2 linked regions of the Macaca mulatta genome follow. The protein of the gene in region 1 purifies or fractionates together with the protein of each later gene. This does not show direct contact. Links are inferred from orthologs where the notes say so. Each region holds a gene or a part of one and is shown on either strand. Other genes may lie near its edges.

What was found.
Region 2: the proteins of COPS3 (region 1) and COPS7A purify together in Homo sapiens (affinity purification with mass spectrometry; 14 studies listed by BioGRID and IntAct, counting the BioPlex papers as one, with this or other methods). This does not show direct contact. The link is inferred for Macaca mulatta from reciprocal best matches to the Homo sapiens genes COPS3 and COPS7A.

What each region holds. Positions count from the first base shown.
Region 1 is NC_133421.1:18,817,805-18,822,280, reverse strand, and holds part of COPS3 (COP9 signalosome complex subunit 3), read left to right. Parts: intron 1-281; exon of another isoform or gene 282-349; coding exon 350-442; intron 443-3,492; coding exon 3,493-3,672; intron 3,673-4,476. UniProt on the Homo sapiens protein: Component of the COP9 signalosome complex (CSN), a complex involved in various cellular and developmental processes.
Region 2 is NC_133416.1:7,678,579-7,683,550, reverse strand, and holds the start of COPS7A (COP9 signalosome complex subunit 7a), read right to left. Parts: upstream 3,486-4,972; 5' UTR 3,365-3,485; exon of another isoform or gene 3,267-3,364; intron 2,905-3,266; 5' UTR 2,862-2,904; coding exon 2,700-2,861; intron 1-2,699.

The DNA of each region.
Region 1 (4,476 bases):
GTCTCTTGTATAATAAGTGATTTGGAAAGTTTTCGTTTGTTTAGATGTTAATATAATGAACTGTTCAGAAAGTAATACTGTTTTTGATTATTGATCTTCATTGTAAAAATAAAAGCTTTTTATGATTTTAAAAATGGTGCTGAGTTATCTAAAAATTCCAAGAAACAGCTTAAGAAAACATTTTCTGACTTAAATGGTACAGAAATTTCCTGAAAGAGTATGGAAACCTCATATTGCTATTTAAAGGAACCTATCAATTAGTGTTATTTTTTATTTGTAAGTGACAACATAAGATCCAATGTGCTGCCATCTTTGAGAACTTATCTGAAAGAGATGTCATTTCTGACAGCCCCTGCGAGGAATTGGCATCCTTAAGCAAGCCATAGACAAGATGCAGATGAATACAAACCAGCTGACCTCAATACATGCTGATCTCTGCCAGGTAAGCAGCCAAAGTGTGTGATTCACACCAACTCAGAGGTGTAGGTTGTTGATGGGCTTGCTCAACATTGGGTTTGATAAACGAAGGCAAGTTGGCGGATATTGTGATGTGTTATAGAAGTCAGAATATGTAGGTACATCTGTTACATTCAGGCGGGTGCTGGATGCAAACTCTAGGATAGGGCTCAACTAGTAAGCTTGTTGAACAGATAGGATAATTAATTCTTGTAACTTTTTTTTTTAGACAGATTCTTGCTTTGTCATCCAGGCTGGAGTGCAGTGGAACGATCTCAGCTCACTGCAACCTCTGCCTCCCGGGTTCAAGCAATTCTCCTGCCTCAGCCTCTTGAGTAGCTGCGACTACAGGCACCCACCACCACACCTGGCTAATTTTTGTATTTTTAGTAGAACAGGGTTTCACCACGTTGGCCAAGCTGGCCTTGAACTCCTTCCTGACCTTGCGATCCACCTGCCTCAGCCTCCCAGAGTGCTGGGATTACAGGTGTGAGCCACCACGCCCAGCCCTAGTTGTAACTTTTTAAAAAATCCTGAATCATTCTTTTAAAATTGTGAACCTGCTGGGTGTGGTGGCTCACACCTGTGATCCCAACACTGGGAGGCTGAGGCTGGTGGATCACCTGAGGTCTGGAGTTCTAGACCAGCCTGACCAACATGGAGAAACCCCGTCTTTACTAAAAATACAAAATTAACTGGGCGTGGTGGCACATGCCTGTAATCTCAGCTACTTGGGAGGCTGAGGCAGGAGAATTGCGTGAACCCAGGAGGCAGAGGTTGTGGTGAGCCGAGATTGCACCATTGTATTCCAACCAGGGCCGTAAGAATCAAACTCTGTCTCAAGAAAAAAAAAAATTGTGGAACCTGAGACTGAACATATCTAACTTCTTACACCATAAAATGTTACTTGTTAATCTTTTTTTTTTTTTTTTTTTTTGAGATAGAGTCTTGCTCTGTTGCCCAGGCTGGAGCGCAGTGGCACGATCTAGGCTCACTGTAACCTCCGCCTCCCAGGTTCAAGCAATTCTCCTGCCTCAGCCTCCTAAGTAGCTGGGATTATGGACGTGTACCACTACACCTGGCTAATTTTTGTATTTTTGGTAGAGATGGGGTTTTACCATGTTGGCCAGGCTGGTCTTGAACTCCGGACCTCAAGTGATCCGCCTGCCTCAGCCTCCCAAAGTGGTGGGATTACAGGCGTGAACCACCATGCCTGGCCTCATTTATTTATCTTATTTTGTGAGGAGGGCAGGTATATAATGAAGTCTCCTTTCCATTCTGTTTGCTAGCCATCTATTTCTTCTCTAAAAGGAAACTATGTTAGTAATTTTTTGTGTATCCTTCCAAAGACTTTTTATGGACATAAAAGCAAATATGAATATATATTTTCTCATTTTTTACACAAATTTTAATCTATGCAGACTCTTCTGTGGCTTGCTTTTTGTATTTAACGTATCTTGGAGATGATTCCGTAGTGGTACTCTACAGGTACGGAGTAGTCTATAATATGAGTATGCCATGGTTTCACAAGTCTGCATGGGTATTTACATTGTTTCCTTCAAGAATAACATGGTGTGTGGATTATTTCAAACACATGTTCTAGTTTCATATGAAGATGTGTCTTTTTTTAATGTTTTAAAAAAATTGTGATTGAGGTACAACATACAGACAGTAAAATACTAAAGTGTATAGCTCAGTGAGTTCGTATGCATGTCTACACTGCGTCTCCATTAGCTAGATAACTGTTCTAAGGGCTTGGTTTGCTGAGTTGCACAATTCCCTACATTTACCTAAAGGATTAAAACACTGGAAAGGATTAATTAAAGGAAGCACTTCTACTTACACCATGCTGGTCTCTTTCCATTCCACTAGTTCAGTAAAGAGAAAGAGGACACACTCTTTTGCCCTCTAATCAGATGGGTAGGGATAGGTTAAGGGATAACTGAGTCTTGTCTGTAGAATTCTCTATTCTCTCTTTTTTTTTTTTTTTTTTTTTTGAGACGGAGTCTCACGCTGTTGCCCAGGCTGGAGTGCAGTGGCGCGATTTCGGCTCACTGCAAGCTCCGCCTCCTGGGTTCACGCCATTCTCCTGCCTCAGCCTCCTGAGTAGCTGGGACTACAGGCGCCCGCCACCGCGCCCGGCTAATTTTTTGTATTTTTAGTAGAGACGGGGTTTCACTGTGGTCTCGATCTCCTGACCTTGTGATCCGCCCACCTCGGCCTCCCAAAGTGCTGGGATTACAGGCTTGAGCCACCGCGCCCGGCCAGAATTCTCTATTCTCAATCGTCTATAGCATGCTTGGCCTTATAGCTGTTTAGCTTTTTATAAAGAAATGCTCCACCAGGTGAGGTGGCTGACGCCTGTAATCCTAGCACATTTGGAGGCAAAGGTGGATGGATCACTTGAGGTCAGGAGTTCGAGACCAGCCTGGTCAATGTGGTGAAACCCCGTCTCTACTAAAAATACAAAAATTAGCTGGGTGTGGTGGTGCACACATGTAATCCCAGCTACTCAGGAGGCTGAGGCAGGAGAATCACTTGAACCCGGGAGGCAGAGGTTTCAGTGAGCCGAGATGTGCCACTGCACTCCAGCCTGTGTGACAGAGTGAGACTCCGTCTCATTAAAAAAAAAAAAAAGTAATGCTATTTTATTCTGAATGGCTAAGAAAATGGAGTACAGGTTGATTAGTCCTAATCTGAAAATTTGAAACCCAAAATGCTCCAAAATCTGAAATCTTTAGAGTGCCAACTTGGCACTCAAAGTGCTCATTGGAGCAATTGCATTTCAGGTTTTCAGATTAGGGATGCTTAACTGGTATGTATTCTGCAAATACTCCAAAATTTGAAACACTTCTGGTCCTAAGCATTTCAGATAGCAGATACATGAAATGTGTTGACATTTAGATCATTTTAGTCAATAAAATGTAAAACACAATTACATTATTTGGAAATTTCTGGAATCTATGAATTTTCTTCTTCTGCTAATACCTGCCTAAGTAAAATTAAAGTGATGATTTAATATCAATTTGTTCACAGCTTTGTTTGCTAGCAAAATGCTTTAAGCCTGCCCTTCCATATCTTGATGTGGATATGATGGATATCTGTAAAGAGAATGGAGCCTATGATGCAAAGCACTTTTTATGTTACTATTATTATGGAGGAATGATCTATACTGGGCTGAAGAACTTTGAAAGAGCTCTCTACTTTTATGAACAGGTAATCATTTCTCTAAAAATTAGCTGAGGTTGTTCTGAACTCATGTGATCAAAAAAGTGATCCCATAGGTTTGTGGCTAGAGTGGACTGATCCCGGGGCCTCCGTTTCAGGTGGTGGTCCTTTCAGAGACTGCTTCTCTGTCATCAGGTAAATGGTGGTAACCTGATCCCTAAGTTGAGGAGCAGTGCCAGTGCATAGAAGAGCACTTGTGGGTGGGTTCTAATCTAGGCTTGCACTTATATCTTATCTGATTTGGGATAAGTTATGACATCTCTTGACCTTTATAGCTTCCTTTGCATATAAGGAAGAGATTGAACTGAATGATCTTGGATGTGTCTTATTCTAAAACCATGTGTGGTATTTTGTTAAGTTTTATTTACTCAGTGAAACATTCTCTTGATTCAAAATTTAAAGGGTATAGAGGAGTACACAGTAATAGTCCCTCCCACCCTTTCTGTGTCTGTGTAATGAAACATAGTGCACAATTTGGTAGACTATTCTGGAGCTTTACTCAGACTTTGAAAAAGAGATACACAATATTGATTAATAAACCCGTTGTCTTAAGGTAAATTAGCTAGATGTTCATACTTTCCTTTTTAGTTCATAGCATGTATTAATAAAGGATATTTAAAACCTTCAGGGAGCTCAGCTTAGTTGGAATTCTAATACATAATACACACACGTACACACATCCGTGGCTCTGAACCATACCATAATGAGTGGTTGATGTGCCCTGTTGAGGGGACCTGAGAAGGGCCACCATAAGGTGCCAGTAGGTGGAAATGGTGTCATTAAAGCATGTGT
Region 2 (4,972 bases), on another chromosome or scaffold:
CCTCCTGAGTTCAAGTGATTCTCCTGCCTCACCCTCCCAAGCAGGTGGGATTACAGGCATGCACCATCACACTGGGCTAATATATGTATTTTTAGTAGACACAGGGTTTCGCCATGTTGGCCAGGCTGGTCTCGAACTCCTGACCTCAGGTGATCCACCACCTGCCTCAGCCTCCCAAAGTGCTGGGGTTACAGGCATGAGCCACTGTGCTCAGCTTCATTCTGGCACTTAATCAATCCTTGCAGAAGGTTGCTACCTAAGAATATCTTTCAACAAGATTATAGACCCAGTCTCTGGTATCCCACAGAGCTATGCAGTAATTGCCTCAGAAGAAATACTCGCTAAATAAATAAATAATTTAGATTTATATCCATTCATCTTATCTCTTCTGATACTTTTCTTGTATTCCCAGACCATAAAAAGGGCAGTAAACAGCCACTCAATAAGTGCTTCTTTTTCTTTTTCTGAGACGGTGTCTCGCACTGTCACCCAGGCTGGAGTGCAGTGGTGCGATCTCGGCTCACTGCAACCTCTGCCACCCTTTTTTTTTTAAATTATACTTTAACTTCTGGGATACATGAGCTTTTTTGTTTGTTTGTTTGTTTGTTTTTTTTGAGACAGAGTCTCACTCTGTCGCCCAGGCTGGAGTGCAGTGGCGCAATCTCGGCTCACTGCAACCTCTGCCTCCCGGGTTCAAGTGATTCTCCTGCCTCGGCCTCCCAAGTAGCTGGGATTACAGGCGCCTGCCACCACGCCCAGCTAATTTTTGTATTTTTAGTAGAGACAGGGTTTCACTACCTTGGCCAGACTGGTCTTGAACTCCTGACCTCATGATCCACCCACCTCAGCCTCCCAAAGTGCTGGGAACAGGCATGAGCCACCAAGCCCGGCCCTGTTTTTTGTGGTTTTTTTTTTTTGGGACAGAGTCTTGCTCTGGAGTGCAGTGGCGCCATCTCAACTCACTGCAACCTCCGCCTCCCGGGTTCATGCCATCCTCCTGCCTTAGCCTCCCAAGTAGCTACAACTACAGGCGCCCGCCACCATGCTCAGCTAATTTTTTTTTTTTTTTTTTTTGAGACGTAGTCTAGCTCTGTGGCCCAGGCTGGAGTGCAGTGCCCGGATCTCAGCTCACTGCAAGCTCCGCCTCCCGGGTTTTTTTACGCCATTCTCCTGCCTCAGCCTCCCCAGTAGCTGGGACTACAGGCGCCCGCCACCTCGCCCGGCTAGTTTTTTGTATTTTTAGTAGAGACGGGGTGTCACCGTGTTAGCTAGGATGGTCTCGATCTCCTGAACTCGTGATCTGCCCGTCTTGGCCTCCCAAAGTGCTGGGATTACAGGTTTGAGCCACCGCGCCCGGCCTTTTTTTTTTTTTTTGAGACGGAGTCTCGCTCTGTCGCCCAGGCTGGAGTGCAGTGCGCGGATCTCAGCTCACTGCAAGCTCCGCCTCCCGGGTTTACGCCATTCTCCTGCCTCAGCCTCCCGAGTAGCTGGGACTACAGGCGCCGGCCACCTCGCCCGGCTAGTTTTTTGTATTTTTTAGTAGAGACGGGGTTTCACCGTGTTAGCCAGGATGGTCTCGATCTCCTGACCTCGTGACCCGCCCCTCTCGGCCTCCCAAAGTGCTGGGATTACAGGCTTGAGCCACTGCGCCCGGCCTCAGCTAATTTTTTGTATTTTTAGTAGAGATGGGGTTTCACCGTGTTAGACCGTCAGGATGGTCTCGATCTCCTGACCTTGTGATCCGCCTGCCTCAGCCTCCCAAAGTGCTGGGATTACAGGCGTGAGCCACTGCACCCAGCCCTGTTTGTATTTTTAATAGAGACAGGGTTCTGCCATATTGGTTTCACCTCCTGACCTCAGGTGATCCACCTGCCTTGGCCTTCCAAAGTGCTGGGATTACAGGCGTGAGCCACTGCACCAGGCCAAGTGCTTCTTTTTCATCACCTTGATGGATACTCTTTAGTTCCACTGCAGATGAAAGCAGGGAAAAGTCAGCCAGTTTTCACCATATCACAGAGTGATCCAAAAGGTTAAACCACAGGCCCCACATAACTTAGCTCAGTTTACCCACATATCACTGTCAGCATGTCAGGACTCAGGCTGCCTCCTCTGTAAATTAACTCTGCCACTTTTGTGTGAATGGTTCTCTCTGCTGTGTTCCTAGTGTTTGCCATGTGTCTTTGGGAAAAAGACACATTCTCCCTTAGCTACCTTGAACAGATTAGCATATGCTGCACATAGGGAAGAACAGGGCATGCTAATTTAACATGTTCACTACCCACTTGTACCAGACTTTACACTTTCCCATAATCTCACTTTATTCCCACAACAGAGGGGGCAGTATTGTCTCCATTTTTAAAAAAGAGAGCTCAGGCCCTAAAACAAAAGTGACCTGATCAAGGTGACATGAGAATTAACAGCTATTACGCTGGTGGAGACGGGCTGGAAATCAGATTTCCTATTCTGAATAACATGCTCTTTTGCTTAAAATGAAAAACAGTGGACTTTACAGATCCTTTATCTCCAAAGGAAAGCTGGTTTGCTTGTTTACTGGTTACTTTTGCAAGTTGGCATTTAATCATCACTGTTTTCTTGTTCAACTGAATGGTATGGGATCACAAATTGAGCCCTGCCCACCCATTCTCAAATTCAAACCTTTGCCCATGCTTCTCTGTGGACTATTCAAGCCAGCAACCCACCTCTCTAACATTGGGCATGTCCAGCAGTTCTCCAAACACGTAGACACCAGGGGCCTCCAGCACCTGATGGATGAGTGTGGCCAGCGCTGCCCCCTTGGCCGACTTGGCTAGGAGCAGAAATTGCTCCTGGTTCTGCCCTGTCACCTTCACTTCCGCACTCATGACTGCACTGAGCTGGGGGCACCTGGGCTCAGGATGTCCAGAGCTGCAAGGAAAGAGAATGTGAAGCTAGAGATCCCCGATGGCTGGTAGGATGGGAAGCACAAGGCTGAAGGACTGGATTGTATAGGTACTAAGTCGGTTCTGCGGTGAGGAATCACACATGGAGCGGTCTAGAATTCTGATCTACAAATCCTAGTCAGCCACTTCACAAGGCTGCCACACCCACCCCCTCCCCTGAGCCTAACCCCAAGCCCCATCATGTGCACCGCCACTGAACCCTAAGACAGGATGCAACGGAGAAAGGGGTGTCGCATGGTATCCACACTAACGACGACGCTCCCTCAGTTCTCCACTCCTGCCCCGCACGCGCCCACAACCACGTGACCTCACCCCAATGAAGCTTACACGTGGCTCCGCCCCCTCCCTTAAAGACACCGCCCAGCGACCGTGGGCTCCCGCCGACTGCTTCGTCGTACCCTGGGTCAGGCTCTGCGGGCCGCTACCTGGAAGCTTCGCCCTCCAGCGCACCGGGCGGGGCCGCCGCTCCGTCACCTCCGGCAGCTGTTCCAAGCCTTTCCTGCCACCTCCCTGAAGAGTCGCTCTGGCCACTAAACTCTATGGCGGGCTTCCGGCCGTACTTCCGCTCTAAGGACGCAAATTTCGGCAGGACATGCCCCGCCCCCGCGTTCCAACCGCTGAAGCTCCAGTGAGGGACGCAAGCATTCTACTCTCCGATTGGTCGCCGGGGGAAGAATGACGGGCGCCTTTTTAAATACTGTATTTCAATAAAACTTTATTAGTGGAAGAGCGCTAGCCACTAAACACAGACGTCTTTGGCGGGTCCCCTGGTCTCGGCCGACTCTGTGTTTGTTCTAAGCCGCTGGAGAGCTGGAGATCAGGACTGCCCTGGGTGCCTGAGGCAAGAGAAAAGCTGTAATGGAATGAGTGAAGAAGCGGGAAAAAAACGGGATGGGGGAGTAAGGGGCAGAGAGGAAGTAAACAATAATCAATAATAGAAGTTTAGCAGCAGAGATCACCTAGGTCGTTCAACCACTCACTTTTTTGAAGAGCAGGAGAAAAGAAGTGAGAAGAGTAAAAGATAATAATTGCTAACATGTATTGAGTGCTTACTATTGGTCAGACATCTTTTAAAATTTTATTCCGTTGAATCCTCACAAATATTCCCAGTGTGACTTCAGGACACCCTCTACCATGATTACTATATATGTATTAATACTTGTAGAATGATGCTTTCAGTACATGGACTCTTAGTTTCTTGGGGCGGAAAAACCCCTATGTTACTCATTTTACAGAAAAGGAAATTGAGACTCATAAAAATCCAAGGATTTATCTGGAGCTTTTCAAACTCAAAACCATCTTTCTACTTCAACATACTTTAATAAAAACAAAAACAACTAACATTTATATAGTGTTTTATATTTCACAGCAGGCTTGCAGAAGGTCAAGTGAGGGTAAAGTTAATGACATCTTGGCCTTTGTGTTAAGCTACGAGCATTACTTAATTCATCTGATACAACAATCTAGTAATTGTTATCTCCACTTTCCAGATGGAAAAACTGAGACTCAGGAAAATTAAGAAACTTATAAGTAATGGAAAGACAAGAAAGTGAAAAAGAGAAAGATAAAGAGAAATAGAACTCGTAGTCTGTTAGGGCTAAAGGAACTGCAGATGCAGTTTATGGTCCACATATTTTGGTTTGTAATAGAAAATAAGCAGAAACACAGAAAGGAAAGGGAAAGGAGGAAGAGGAGAAGAAGAAATGAATGGAAAAGGTGAAACAAAAGTGAGAAGGAATCAAAGGCATAATAAAATATTAAAACTTTGAAGGAACCAAGGAATTAATGAGTCCAAACTTATTTTTTTTTTGCATCCACCCCTCCCCGCCCAAGCTTATCTTTTCTTTTTTATTTTTTTTTTGAGCCAGGATTTCGCTCTTGCCACCCAGGCTGGAGTACAATGGCACAGTCTTGGCCCACTGAACCTCTGCCTCTTGGGCTCAAATGATTCTCCTGCTTTGGCCTCCCGAGTAGCTGGAATTATATGCGTGCGCCACCATCCCCGGTTAATTTTTGTATTTTTAGTAGAGATG